2 linked regions of the Xenopus tropicalis genome follow. The protein of the gene in region 2 purifies or fractionates together with the protein of the main gene of each other region. This does not show direct contact. Links are inferred from orthologs where the notes say so. Each region holds a gene or a part of one and is shown on either strand. Other genes may lie near its edges.

The links.
Region 1: the proteins of ube2o (region 2) and nap1l4 purify together in Homo sapiens (affinity purification with mass spectrometry; 3 studies listed by BioGRID, with this or other methods). This does not show direct contact. The link is inferred for Xenopus tropicalis from reciprocal best matches to the Homo sapiens genes UBE2O and NAP1L4.

The regions. Positions count from the first base shown.
Region 1 is NC_030680.2:168,573-176,497, forward strand, and holds the start of nap1l4 (nucleosome assembly protein 1-like 4), read right to left. Parts: upstream 4,842-7,925; 5' UTR 4,818-4,841; intron 4,754-4,817; exon of another isoform or gene 4,735-4,753; intron 1-4,734. UniProt on the Homo sapiens protein: Acts as a histone chaperone in nucleosome assembly.
Region 2 is NC_030686.2:45,259,840-45,267,220, forward strand, and holds part of ube2o ((E3-independent) E2 ubiquitin-conjugating enzyme), read right to left. Parts: intron 6,994-7,381; coding exon 6,934-6,993; intron 6,856-6,933; coding exon 6,745-6,855; intron 6,519-6,744; coding exon 6,421-6,518; intron 6,227-6,420; coding exon 6,163-6,226; intron 6,065-6,162; coding exon 5,921-6,064; intron 4,893-5,920; coding exon 4,783-4,892; intron 4,673-4,782; coding exon 4,522-4,672; intron 4,402-4,521; coding exon 3,920-4,401; intron 3,813-3,919; coding exon 3,658-3,812; intron 2,964-3,657; coding exon 2,851-2,963; intron 2,586-2,850; coding exon 2,457-2,585; intron 2,373-2,456; coding exon 2,283-2,372; intron 2,035-2,282; coding exon 1,344-2,034; intron 1,256-1,343; coding exon 1,119-1,255; intron 1-1,118. UniProt on the Homo sapiens protein: E2/E3 hybrid ubiquitin-protein ligase that displays both E2 and E3 ligase activities and mediates monoubiquitination of target proteins. Negatively regulates TRAF6-mediated NF-kappa-B activation independently of its E2 activity.

The sequences.
Region 1 (7,925 bases), on a different chromosome or scaffold from region 2:
CCCCAGGCAGGGGGCTGTACCCACATATATCCGCCAGGCAGGGGGCTGTACCCACATATATCCCCAGGCAGGGGGCTGTACCCCACATATATCCCCAGGCAGGGGGGCTGTACCCCACATATATCCCCAGGCAGGGGGGCTGTACCCACATATATCCCCAGGCAGGGGGGCTGTACCCACATATATCCCCAGGCAGGGGGGCTGTACCCACATATATCCCCAGGCAGGGGGGCTGTACCCACATATATCCCCAGGCCAGGGGGGCTGTACCCACATATATCCCCAGGCAGGGGGGCTGTACCCACATATATCCCCAGGCAGGGGGCTGTACCCACATATATCCCCAGGCAGGGGGCTGTACCCCACATATATCCCCAGGCAGGGGGCTGTACCCCACATATATCCCCAGGCAGGGGGCTGTACCCCACATATATCCCCAGGCAGGGGGCTGTACCCACATATATCCCCAGGCAGGGGGCTGTACCCACATATATCCCCAGGCAGGGGGCTGTACCCACATATCCCCAGGCAGGGGGGCTGTACCCACATATATCCCCAGGCAGGGGGGCTGTACCCCACATATATCCCCAGGCAGGGGGGGCTGTACCCACATATATCCCCAGGCAGGGGGGCTGTACCCACATATATCCCCAGGCAGGGGGGCTGTACCCACATATATCCCCAGGCAGGGGGGCTGTTACCCACATATATCCCCAGGCAGGGGCTGTACCCCACATATATCCCCAGGCAGGGGGCTGTACCCACATATATCCCCAGGCAGGGGGCTGTACCCCACATATATCCCCAGGCAGGGGGCTGTACCCCACATATATCCCCAGGCAGGGGGGCTGTACCCCACATATATCCCCAGGCAGGGGGGCTGTACCCCACATATATCCCCAGGCAGGGGGCTGTACCCCCACATATATCCCCAGGCAGGGGGGCTGTACCCCACATATATCCCCAGGCAGGGGGCTGTACCCCACATATATCCCCAGGCAGGGGGCTGTACCCACATATATCCCCAGGCAGGGGGCTGTACCCACATATATCCCCAGGCAGGGGGCTGTACCCACATATCCCCAGGCAGGGGGGCTGTACCCACATATATCCCCAGGCAGGGGGGCTGTACCCACATATATCCCCAGGCAGGGGGGCTGTACCCACATATATCCCCAGGCAGGGGGGCTGTACCCACATATATCCCCAGGCAGGGGGGCTGTACCCACATATATCCCCAGGCAGGGGGGCTGTACCCACATATATCCCCAGGCAGGGGGCTGTACCCCACATATATCCCCAGGCAGGGGGCTGTACCCCACATATATCCCCAGGCAGGGGGCTGTACCCCACATATATCCCCAGGCAGGGGGCTGTACCCACATATATCCCCAGGCAGGGGGGCTGTACCCCACATATATCCCCAGGCAGGGGACTGTACCCACATATATCCCCAGGCAGGGGGGCTGTACCCACATATATCCCAGGCAGGGGGCTGTACCCACATATATCCCCAGGCAGGGGACTGTACCCACATATATCCCCAGGCAGGGGGGCTGTACCCACATATATCCCCAGGCAGGGGGCTGTACCCCACATATATCCCCAGGCAGGGGGGCTGTACCCACATATATCCCAGGCAGGGGGGCTGTACCCCACATATATCCCCAGGCAGGGGGGCTGTACCCCACATATATCCCCAGGCAGGGGGGCTGTACCCACATATATCCCCAGGCAGGGGGGCTGTACCCACATATATCCCCAGGCAGGGGCTGTACCCACATATATCCCCAGGCAGGGGGGCTGTACCCCACATATATCCCCAGGCAGGGGGGCTGTACCCACATATATCCCCAGGCAGGGGGCTGTACCCACATATATCCCCAGGCAGGGGCTGTACCCACATATATCCCCAGGCAGGGGGCTGTACCCCACATATATCCCCAGGCAGGGGGCTGTACCCCACATATATCCCAGGCAGGGGGGCTGTACCCACATATATCCCCAGGCAGGGGGCTGTACCCCACATATATCCCCAGGCAGGGGGCTGTACCCCACATATATCCCCAGGCAGGGGGCTGTACCCACATATATCCCCAGGCAGGGGGGCTGTACCCACATATATCCCCAGGCAGGGGGCTGTACCCACATATATCCCCAGGCAGGGGGCTGTACCCCACATATATCCCCAGGCAGGGGGGCTGTACCCACATATATCCCCAGGCAGGGGGGCTGTACCCACATATATCCCCGGCAGGGGGCCATATATCCCAGGCAGGGGGCTGTACCCACATATATCCCCAGGCAGGGGGCTGTACCCCACATATATCCCAGGCAGGGGGCTGTACCCACATATATCCCCAGGCAGGGGGCTGTACCCACATATATCCCCAGGCAGGGGGCTGTACCCACATATATCCCCAGGCAGGGGGCTGTACCCACATATATCCCCAGGCAGGGGGCTGTACCCCACATATATCCCCAGGCAGGGGGCTGTACCCCACATATATCCCCAGGCAGGGGGGCTGTACCCACATATATCCCCAGGCAGGGGGCTGTACCCACATATATCCCCAGGCAGGGGGCTGTACCCACATATATCCCCAGGCAGGGGGGCTGTACCCACATATATCCCCAGGCAGGGGGCGTACCCACATATATTCCCCAGGCAGGGGCTGTACCCACATATATCCCCAGGCAGGGGGGCTGTACCCACATATATCCCCAGGCAGGGGGCTGTACCCACATATATCCCAGGCAGGGGGGGCTGTACCCACATATATCCCCAGGCAGGGGGGCTGTACCCACATATATCCCCAGGCAGGGGGGCTGTACCCCACATATATCCCCAGGCAGGGGGGCTGTACCCACATATATCCCCAGGCAGGGGGGCTGTACCCACATATATCCCAGGCAGGGGGGCTGTACCCACATATATCCCCAGGCAGGGGGCTGTACCCACATATATCCCCAGGCAGGGGGGCTGTACCCACATATATCCCCAGGCAGGGGGGCTGTACCCCACATATATCCCCAGGCAGGGGGCTGTACCCACATATATCCCCAGGCAGGGGGGCTGTACCCACATATATCCCCAGGCAGGGGGGCTGTACCCACATATATCCCCAGGCAGGGGGGCTGTACCCACATATATCCCCAGGCAGGGGGGCTGTACCCACATATATCCCCAGGCAGGGGGGCTGTACCCACATATATCCCCAGGCAGGGGGGCTGTACCCACATATATCCCCAGGCAGGGGGCTGTACCCACATATATCCCCAGGCAGGGGGCTGTACCCACATATATCCCCAGGCAGGGGGGCTGTACCCACATAATATTCCCCAGGCAGGGGGCTGTAACCCACATATATCCCCAGGCAGGGGGGCTGTACCCCACATATATCCCCAGGCAGGGGGCTGTACCCCACATATATCCCCAGGCAGGGGGCTGTACCCACATATATCCCCAGGCAGGGGGGCTGTACCCACATATATCCCCAGGCAGGGGGGCTGTACCCACATATATCCCAGGCAGGGGGCTGTACCCACATATATCCCCAGGCAGGGGGCTGTACCCACATATATCCCCAGGCAGGGGGGCTGTACCCACATATATCCCAGGCAGGGGGGCTGTACCCACATATATCCCCAGGCAGGGGGGCTGTACCCACATATATCCCCAGGCAGGGGGGCTGTACCCACATATATCCCCAGGCAGGGGGGCTGTACCCACATATATCCCCAGGCAGGGGGGCTGTACCCACATATCCCAGGGGCTTACCCATTATCCCAGGCAGGGGGCTGTACCCACATATATCCCCAGGCAGGGGGGCTGTACCCACATATATCCCCAGGCAGGGGGGCTGTACCCACATATATCCCCAGGCAGGGGGGCTGTACCCACATATATCCCAGGCAGGGGGGCTGTACCCACATATATCCCCAGGCAGGGGGCTGTACCCACATATATCCCCAGGCAGGGGGCGTACCCCACATATCCCCGGCAGGGGCTGTACCCCACATATATCCCCAGGCAGGGGGGCTGTACCCACATATATCCCCCAGGCAGGGGGGCTGTACCCACATATATCCCCAGGCAGGGGGGCTGTACCCCACATATATCCCCAGGCAGGGGGCTGTACCCCACATATATCCCCAGGCAGGGGGCTGTACCCACATATATCCCCAGGCAGGGGGGCTGTACCCCACATATATCCCCAGGGCAGGGGGGCTGTACCCACATATATCCCCAGGCAGGGGGGCTGTACCCACATATATCCCAGGCAGGGGGCTGTACCCACATATATCCCCAGGCAGGGGGGCTGTACCCACATATATCCCCAGGCAGGGGGCTGTACCCCACATATATCCCCAGGCAGGGGGGCTGTACCCACATATATCCCCAGGCAGGGGGCTGTACCCACATATATCCCCAGGCAGGGGGCTGTACCCACATATATCCCCAGGCAGGGGGCTGTACCCACATATATCCCCAGGCAGGGGGGCTGTACCCACATATATCCCCAGGCAGGGGGCTGTACCCACATATATCCCCAGGCAGGGGGCTGTACCCACATATATCCCCAGGCAGGGGGGCTGTACCCACATATATCCCCAGGCAGGGGGGCTGTACCCACATATATCCCCAGGCAGGGGGCTGTACCCACATATGTAGGGGACAGGGCAGGACACATGTTGGGGAGTTACAGTTACAGGACACAGTAATGTCGGTACCAGGGGGGAAAGAGACGCCCAACAAGCCCCGCTGTTACAGGCCACTCCCCCCGCTCCTCACACGGTCCCGGGCAGATACTCACACGTCCCGCACAATAAGTACAAACTCCTCCCCTCTGTCTGACAGAAACAACTCCCGTTACCTATATAATCTCGCGAGACTATGGCGTCACGGCTCACGTATGCGTCCTGACGCACGGGCAGGCACATTCCGTCCCAACGTAAGCGTAATGACGCACCACATAGGAGCATTGCGGTTCCACGTAAGCGTAATGACGCATCACATAAGCGCATTGCGGTGCGTCATAACGTAAGCGTAAAGACGCACCGGAATGCTCCACGTAAGCGCAATGACGCAACACGTCGCCGCATTACTGGCGTGACGACGAGCAGAGATGACGTAGTGGCGTCGGTCAGTGTTATCCAATAGGAGTGAGCGGTTTCCCTATCGCTAGGGGACAAGCAGCCATTAGTTCCCCTCAGTATTTCCCCATTGTGTGTGCAGTACTGTGCGTTATGGGGGGCTGTTCCCCAGTGTGAGGCAGAGAGTAACATTCTGTGCAGTTGGTCTTCCTTTATTATTTGTGTTTTTATATTTATATCAGTTTCCGTTCTTTTATTATTTGCTGGCCTATCCCAGTCTCACACCCTCAGTCCCCATACTGATATAAGCCTGGCAGGAAACGCTTGGGGGCCACAGTGCGTCTGGCAGGAAACGCTTGGGGGCCACAGTGCGTCTGGCAGGAAACGCTTGGGAGCCACGGTGCGTCTGGCAGGAAACGCTTGGGGGCCACAGTGCGTCTGGCAGGAACGCTTGGGAGCCACAGTGCGCCTGGCAGGAAACGCTTGGGAGCCACGGTGCGCCTGGCAGGAAACGCTTGGGGGCCACGGTGCGTCTGGCAGGAAACGCTTGGGGGCCACAGTGCGTCTGGCAGGAAACGCTTGGGGGCCACAGTGCGTCTGGCAGGAAACGCTTGGGGGCCACAGTGCGTCTGGCAGGAAACGCTTGGGGGCCACAGTGCGTCTGGCAGGAAACGCTTGGGGGCCACGGTGCGTCTGGCAGGAAACGCTTGGGAGCCACAGTGCGTCTGGCAGGAAACGCTTGGGAGCCACGGTGCGTCTGGCAGGAAACGCTTGGGGCCACAGTGCGTCTGGCAGGAAACGCTTGGGAGCCACAGTGCGTCTGGCAGGAAACGCTTGGGAGCCACAGTGCGTCTGGCAGGAACGCTTGGGGGCCACAGTGCGTCTGGCAGGAAACGCTTGGGGGCCACGGTGCGTCTGGCAGGAAACGCTTGGGGGCCACGGTGCGTCTGGCAGGAAACGCTTGGGAGCCACAGTGCGTCTGGCAGGAAACGCTTGGGGGCCACAGTGCGTCTGGCAGGAAACGCTTGGGGGCCACAGTGCGTCTGGCAGGAAACGCTTGGGGGCCACGGTGCGTCTGGCAGGAAACGCTTGGGAGCCGCGGTGCGTCTGGCAGGAAACGCTTGGGGGCCACAGTGCGCCTGGCAGGAAACGCTTGGGGGCCACGGTGCGTCTGGCAGGAACGCTTGGGAGCCACGGTGCGTCTGGCAGGAAACGCTTGGGAGCCACAGTGCGTCTGGCAGGAAACGCTTGGGAGCCACGGTGCGTCTGGCAGGAACGCTTGGGAGCCACGGTGCGTCTGGCAGGAAACGCTTGGGAGCCACAGTGCGTCTGGCAGGAAACGCTTGGGGGCCACGGTGCGCCTGGCAGGAAACGCTTGGGGGCCACGGTGCGCCTGGCAGGAAACGCTTGGGGGCCACGGTGCGCCTGGCAGGAAACGCTTGGGGGCCACGGTGCGTCTGGCAGGAAACGCTTGGGAGCCACGGTGCGTCTGGCAGGAAACGCTTGGGGGCCACGGTGCGTCTGGCAGGAAACGCTTGGGGGCCACGGTGCGTCTGGCAGGAAACGCTTGGGAGCCACGGTGCGCCTGGCAGGAAACGCTTGGGGGCCACGGTGCGTCTGGCAGGAAACGCTTGGGAGCCACGGTGCGTCTGGCAGGAAACGCTTGGGGGCCACGGTGCGTCTGGCAGGAAACGCTTGGGAGCCACGGTGCGCCTGGCAGGAAACGCTTGGGGGCCACGGGTGCGTCTGGCAGGAAACGCTTGGGGGCCACGGTGCGTCTGGCAGGAAACGCTTGGGGGCCACGGTGCGTCTGGCAGGAAACGCTTGGGGGCCACGGTGCGTCTGGCAGGAAACGCTTGGGAGCCACGGTGCGTCCTGGCAGGAAACGCTTGGGGGCCACGGTGCGTCTGGCAGGAAACGCTTGGGAGCCACGGTGCGTCTGGCAGGAAACGCTTGGGAGCCACGGTGCGCCTGGCAGGAAACGCTTGGGGGCCACGGTGCGTCTGGCAGGAAACGCTTGGGGGCCACGGTGCGTCTGGCAGGAAACGCTTGGGGGCCACGGTGCGTCTGGCAGGAAACGCTTGGGGGCCACGGTGCGTCTGGCAGGAAACGCTTGGGAGCCGCGGTGCGTCTGGCAGGAAACGCTTGGGAGCCACAGTGCGCCTGGCAGGAAACGCTTGGGGGCCACGGTGCGTCTGGCAGGAAACGCTTGGGAGCCACGGTGTGTCTGGCAGGAAACGCTTGGGGGCCACGGCGTGCCTGGCAGGAAACGCTTGGGAGCCACGGTGCGTCTGGCAGGAAACGCTTGGGAGCCACGGTGCGTCTGGCAGGAAACGCTTGGGAGCCACGGTGCGTCTGGCAGGAAACGCTTGGGGGCCACGGTGCGTCTGGCAGGAAACGCTTGGGAGCCACGGTGCGTCTGGCAGGAAACGCTTGGGAGCCACGGTGCGCTTGGGGGCCACAGTGTGTCTGGCAGGAAACGCTTGGGAGCCACGGTGCGTCTGGCAGGAAACGCTTGGGGGCCACGGTGCGTCTGGCAGGAAACGCTTGGGGGCCACAGTGTGTCTGGCAGGAAACGCTTGGGAGCCACGGTGCGCTTGGGGGCCACAGTGTGTCTGGCAGGAAACGCTTGGGAGCCACGGTGCGCCTGGCAGGAAACGCTTGGGAGCCACGGTGCGTCTGGCAGGAACGCTTGGGGGCCACGGTGCGTCTGGCAGGAAACGCTTGGGAGCCACGGTGCGTCTGGCAGGAAACGCTTGGGAGCCACAGTGCGTCTGGCAGGAAACGCTTGGGGGCCACAGTGCGTCTGGCAGGAAACGCTTGGGGGC
Region 2 (7,381 bases):
ATAATAAAACAGTACCTGTACTTGATCCCAACTAAGATATAATTACCCCTTATTGGGGCAGAACAGCCCTATTGGGTTTATTTCATGGTTAAATGATTCCCTTTTCTCTGTAATAATAAAACAGTACCTGTACTTGATCCCAACTAAGATATAATTACCCCTTATTGGGGCAGAACAGCCCTATTGGGTTTATTTAATGGTTAAATGATTCCCTTTTCTCTGTAATAATAAAACAGTACCTGTACTTGATCCCAACTAAGATATAATTACCCCTTATTGGGGCAGAACAGCCCTATTGGGTTTATTTAATGGTTAAATGATTCCCTTTTCTCTGTAATAATAAAACAGTACCTGTACCTGATCCCAACTAAGATATAATTACCCCTTATTGGGGGCAGAACAGCCCTATTGGGTTTATTTAATGGTTAAATGATTCCCTTTTCTCTGTAATAATAAAACAGTACTTGTACTTGATCCCAACTAAGATATAATTACCCCTTATTGGGGGCAGAACAGCCCTATTGGGTTTATTTAATGGTTAAATGATTCCCTTTTCTCTGTAATAATAAAACAGTACCTGTACTTGATCCCAACTAAGATATAATTACCCCTTATTGGGGCAGAACAATCCTATTGGGTTTAATTTATGTTTTAATGTTTTTTTAATAGATTTAAAGTATGGAGATCCAAATTACAGAAAGACCCCTTATCCGTCAAACCCTTGGTCCCGAGCATTCTGGATAATGGGTCCTATACCTGTATATATGTTCCTTTCCTTATTGACATCACGTGTGCAGGGGATTGTGGGATTGGGAGGATACAGGCTGAGGGACAGGCAACTACGGTTACATTTTATTTGAGTCACAAAGTAGTCGGCCAGACCAGCAGGGAACAGGGGGCGGGGCTTAGGGAACAGGGGGTGGGGCTTAGGGAACTGTTCCAACCAGATTATTACATTAAGTCATGAAATGTTGAATATGTTTGTAACTGATGTATATTGTGAAGTTGCTTGACATTATGTTTACTTTTCAAAAAGCGTAAGTTGTGTTTGGGTGGAGTTCCCCTTTAGTTACAGGTTTTTTTGGCTCCCACTCTCGGGCAAACAAATTGGTATTTACCATTCGGTCTTCAAAGGTCTTCACCATGATGCCGTCCGGGAGGGAAGTCGCCAGCAGAGCCATCTCTTTACGCACGGTGCTGAAGAACTTCTTGGCTTCCGGGGCTTGGAACTCCAGCTTCTTAAAGGCTTGGCTCTCTAAGGGGGGAGGAAGCACGGGATTGTGGGTAAGCACTGGCACAGGAAGTGATCCAGGAGGGGGAAGATACTAAGCGATGATACATACCGGGGGCAGTTTCAAGCACAGAGAAGACCTCCCCTTTGGCGCTGGTGAAGATGACGCCGGGTTTGCCGCCGCTCTGCTGGCACAACACGGGCGTGTCACTCGGCCATTCTGACCGGACGGGCGTCTGCGCTTCAGCTTTCTCCTCCTTCTCAGTCTCGGGCGCCGACTCCATCTTTTCCTCCTCAGCTATGGCCACATTGTCCAGGGTTTTCTTGAGGTTCTCCTGCAGCTTCTTTATATCATCCAGGAACTTCTTCTCCCGAGTGAACTTCTCCGGCTCGGCTGTGGGGGAGGTTGGGGAGCCGGTGAGCAGCTGTTCTACCGTCATGTTCTTCAGGCTCTCCAGGATCTTAATGGCCTCCTTCAGCTCCTTAAAGCTCTTCACAATCCCTTCTTTCTCATTCACTTTCACGCCGAGAACTCCCAGATCCGCGGCCGCAGCCAATGCAGCGCTCTGTTCCGCCTCGTCTTGCGCCGGTTCCTGCATCGGCTCTGCGGGGGCGGTCTCATTCTGTGAAGCCGCCGCCTCCTCCCCCCCCGCCGCCCGAGGGATTTCATCTTCCGTCAGCCCGTTGTCCGTTTCCCAGCTGTCGCTCTCATCCTCCCATTCATCAGACGAGGCGCCGCTGGAGCTGCTGTCCACGGAGTCATAAAAGGATTCCTCCAGTTCGGATTCCACGTTATACAGATGCTGGGGAGTCAAAAGGAAACAATTTGTAGGTGCAGCAGTCTCCAGAACAGAGAATGCGGCCTGTAACCCACAGGACCCAGTATCCACAGGACCCAATATCCACAGGGCGAGTATGAGTTCTTCCTTCCACCCTCCTTCCCCACTTCCTCTACCATCAGCCCCTATCAGTGGGTGTGTGCCTGCTACACCCCTCCCCCTTTGTGACATCAGAGATGGGGTGGGCCCCAATATTTATACAACACACTTACCTGTGGGAGGACAATAGTCCGGGAATTATCAGCCCAGATCACTTCGACTTTGCTGCTCACGTCCACCCGAGCCACCTGCCCCACCGACGGCTGCAAAACAGGGAAAGGGGGTTTAATCACCTTAAATAAATGTAACAGCCACCGGTAACGGCATCTGGAATAAAAAGTTCCCACCTGGCTGGCATCAGGAAAGGCTTCTGGATCAGAGTTGCCAATGCGGATCACTATGTCTGTGGCTCGGAATCGGAAATCTGGATGGTCAACAATGTCATACACACTGACATCCTCCTCTTCCCCAACAAGCTGAGAAACAGTAAGAGACATGTTTGTGTGTATGGCTGAAGCAGAGCATGATGGGGCACACAGTATCACCCGGCTAACAGTCTTGCACCCCTGCCCAACATGGCGGGCCCAGCACAGCCCAGAGAAGCAGGACGGCCACTAATCAGTAAATCGACAAAAACCTTTGAACACAAAGAAATAACAGAACCCCGTGCCGTACGGTCCATAAAATATAGTTCTGGCTCAGGGAAGGGACATGTCGGGTCACAGCGATTCCGTAACTCACCTCCGTATCGTCCCCATTCAAATTCAGCTTGATCCATTTTACCACACAAGTACGGCCCGTGTGATCCCCAGACTGCACCACTCCGTATATACTGGGGTCCTGGGCAGCGTGGGCTGTTGGGGGAGAGAGAAGGAAAAGGCTATTTCAGATGAACCGGAGAGCGTCATTCTGTAAATCTGTTTGTCTTAAACCCACATATTTACTGTTATTTGCCCCTCACTCTCCCCACTCATCTGCCCCTCACTCCGTCTCTGCCCCTCACTCCGTCTCTGCCCCTCACTCCGTCTCTGCCCCTCACTCCGTCTCTGCCCCTCACTCCGTCTCTGCCCCTCACTCCGTCTCTGCCCCCCCTCACTCTGTCCCATTCATCTGCCTGTATGCCCCCTGCTCTGTCTCTGCCCCACTCATCTGCCCATATGCCCCCTGCTCTGTCTCTGCCCCACTCATCTGCCCGTATGCCCCCTGCTCTGTCTCTGCCCCACTCATCTGCCCGTATGCCCCCTGCTCTGTCTCTGCCCCATTCATCTGCCCGTATGCCCCCTGCTCTGTCTCTGCCCCACTCATCTGCCCATATGCCCCTCGCTCTGTCTCTGCCCCACTCATCTGCCCATATGCCCCCTGCTCTGTCTCTGCCCCACTCATCTGCCCATATGCCCCCTCGCTCTGTCTCTGCCCCACTCATCTGCGCGTATGCCCCTGCTCTGTCTCTGCCCCACTCATCTGCCCATATGCCCCCTGCTCTGTCTCTGCCCCACTCATCTGCCCGTATGCCCCTTGCTCTGTCTCTGTGCATCTAACATTACTGACCTCTCTTGTCGACTACAAAGTCCCCGGGGCAGAACTCGTTGTTATCCAGATGCTGGATCGGTACCAGTTCATTAGAGCGGATGTTGGTCTCAACGCTCCCATCTTGCCACATAACGTCAGCCGTGGTCACAGTGGTTATAACCTCGACAGCCACCCTGCAGGGACAGCCATAGATGACAATGTAAAACGACCAGAGGGGGCGCTGCAGCTACATAGCTGCCCTTTGCTTGGCACTCTGGGAGGGTCCATTACTAATACCAACCTGTCGCCATGTTTGAACTCTCTGTATACTTTGCTCTTTTTCTTCTTCTTATGTTTCCTCTTGAGGTTCCGGATGGACAGGGGGATGCTCTTCTTGCGCCCAGCGCCGCTGCCACTTTGGGAAGAAGCCGTAGAACTGGCCGAGGAAGTCACCGAGCTGGTCTCGTCGGTATCCCCTGCGGCTTCATCGTCGGCGTCCTGTTCCGAGGAATGCAGCTGGAGGCCCTGGAATATTTCCCGGAAGGTGCCCAAAGGCTGCTCTTTGGTTGGGCACTCCGGAACGTTCGGTTCCTCGGGGGGTTCCCCTTCCAGCTTGGCAGAGACAAGATCTTCCTCGGTTGCCCTTGCTGTGGGTATTTCATACGACGGGGGCACTGTGGAGTTTTTTTTGAGGAGTTCAGTAGGGTTGGAGGGATCCTGGGTACATGAGATTATCTTGACTATCTGCTTCTCCCGTAGCTTTTCCACCTGCTGTGTATGGACCAATGGTGAGACAGAAAATCAGGTGTTACATCTCCTACCATGATAAACAACCCCCCCATGCCAGTGCCAGCTAATACCCTTTGCTTGGGCCGCTACCTCTGCAGCCTTCAGTGGCCCTACCTTCCTGGTGACGGTGACCTCCCCCAGCAGGCAGTTCTTCTCGAGACTTTCACACAGAATTTTGGTGGGTTCCACCTTAGTGGGGAAGATGTACAGACAGCGCTCTCCCAGCTGCCTCTGCGTGTGGTCGAAGGAGCCCAGTCGTTTCACTCTGAGGGGAAACAGAACAGCAGCTCATGGAGTTGCCCATATCGCCCTCTAGTGGAGGAACAGTTTGGGTGCACTGGAAACTCCCACCCCATTGGCTCAGGTTGGACTCACCTAGACAGGTTCTCCTGAGTAATCACAGCGGGTGGGGGGTCCATGGAATCGGTGCCGCCGAGACAAAAGCTTTTTGTGATCCAAGTAACTCGTAATTCAGTGACTTGCACCTGTAACGCGGGGGGGAGAATGAACGCACACGCGTGTTACACGCACATATACGTAAGCATCACACACTGAGCAGGAAACGGGCGCTCTACCAGGAGATTAACCGGCTACAAGCACCAGAAATAAACTATAAGGGGTGGGAGACGTTTCCCTGAAGCACCGGGTGCCGCCTGCATGGGCGGTCCCGACCTTCGACCTTCCGTGTCGCCACTAAATCATTACTTATTCATGAGCTAAAGTAATTATTCATGAGTGCACTACAGGGTCCAGCACGGCAAGCGCCACGGCTCCACACTAGGGTAGGGCACCCCCTTGGGGTATCTTGGAGCAGGTGGGGGGGTAATTAGCCGGATGGCCTGGTGAGGTTGGAATTGGGATAGCTAGGGTACACACTGCCCCCCCCCCCCCATACCGTATATGAGAGCTTCCTATACAGTATGGGGGGAAAGGACTTCAGGTGGAAACTCATGAGTGGGGCACAATGGGCACAATGAAATGGCAACAGAAGTCACCAAGAGTAAAGGTCCCCATCCATGGGCCGATTCTAGCTGCCGATATTGGCCCCTTAGACAGATTCGGCAGCTAATCGGCCCGTGTATGGGCACTACCGACGGCATGCCCGACCCATATCTAACCTGAAATTGGCCAGATCTTGATCGGGCAGGTTAGAAAATCTAGTCGGATCGGGGACCACATTGGCTCGTTGATACCATCCCCGGACCGACTTTGCCTATACCTGCCGTAATAATTCAATTGTTTGGCCCCAATTACCCTAAATTCCCCCCATATTGCCCACCCGTAGGTGGGGATATCGGGAGAAGATCCGCTCACTTGGCGACATCGCCAAACGAGCGGATCTTATGGTGTATGGGGACCTTAAGAAAGCCCCAAGACTATAAGGATCGGCTCGCTCTGGTTTCATGGCTCCGGGCTGTACGGGCTCCGATCCTACACCAGATACAAACCCACCCCCAGTGGCACCCGTTTTGGTTACCCCAGAACTGCAGCGAAGGAGAGAGTGGAACTTTACCTCTTCCACCCCCACGCGAAACTTGCTCTTGGCACTCAGTACCGGCTTGACCCCAGAGAGCCACTGCACGCTGGAGAACACCTTGGAGGGGCCGATCAGTACTTGCCCAGGGTAAAAGCCATAGGAGTCATCAAAGAACAGCCCCTAAAGGTACAACATAGAGATGTGAATTGGTCAGTTTGGAGCCGTTGGCCCCGCCTCCTAGCGATACCGGAGGAACAGGAAGTAAATGAGAGAGTTACCGAGTCGCTGGCGTGGGGGCAGACGTCGTACAGTTTGGACGCATCCTCGGTGCTCATGGAACATCTGCAGCAAGCGGGGGAGGAAAAGGAAGATCCCTGAGAAACCCAGTTCAGTCCGACCCAATCTCATTCCCCCTCTCTACACACAGCACCCATTAAGCACCCATTAAGCACCCATAGCGCTTATTCCCTAATACCCCCAACGAAGTGCCCTTATAACATCTGCTCTGCAGAATGGGCCGAGGGTTCTGCCGATACCTGGCGCCGTTGGACAGCTTGAGGACAACCTGGTTCTTCAGATCATACACTTTGCCCAGCCAGCAGTCGTAGGCAATGTAATCCCCGTACATGATAGGCTGGAGAGGCAACAGGAGAGGAGCCAATCACAAAGATGCAAGAGAATGAATAGAAGACACAGAACATTACAGTCGGGGGTCTATAGAGATTGGACCCTCAATGGAACCACATGACCCAGAGCCATTACTATAAAGGAAGACCCTGTGACTGCCAGGGGCCCTGTGGGGTTCTAAATGATTTCACTGCGGGGCCCGGTAACCGGCAGTTGCCAAGGCGACATCTCACCCAGATGTGGTGCAGCTCCTTACTGTTGACCGGATGCAGGAAGCAGTTGGTCCCCACCACTTTCACCACGCAGTCTATGTTCACGTCGATCACCGTGCCGCACTGGCTGTCCTGGGGGGGCACAACGGGACGGGGGTCAGCGAGGGAGCGATACGGAGCACCGACAGTGCAGCTCATACGGCCACTTACCTTTGTACCCATCCGACGCACAACATCCCTGGGCACCAGCGAGCGGTCCTCCAGCTTTAACTGCAACACAAGGAAAGGCAATGGCATTACACTGGCACAGAATGGGCACTGCATGTACATACGGGCGGGAGGTGCCATATTGCTTTCCCAGGGCACCAATGGGATAGTTCCCCTTTGTAATTGTAACGTTACAGTAAGGTGCAGCTGCTCCACAGATTCTCTCAGCAACAAACTTCTATTTCTTCATAGAGACCAAGGTATTATACTTACTGCCATGGTCTTATAGTGAGGGAAACACTATGGCACCTCCTACCCATATGTATAAATACAAATATACAGAGAAGGAATGTTCTGGGCACACAATAAGCTGTACCCTCATACTGTACTGTCTAAGGGAAACACTATGGCACCTCCCTCCCATATGTATAAATACAAATATACAGAGAAG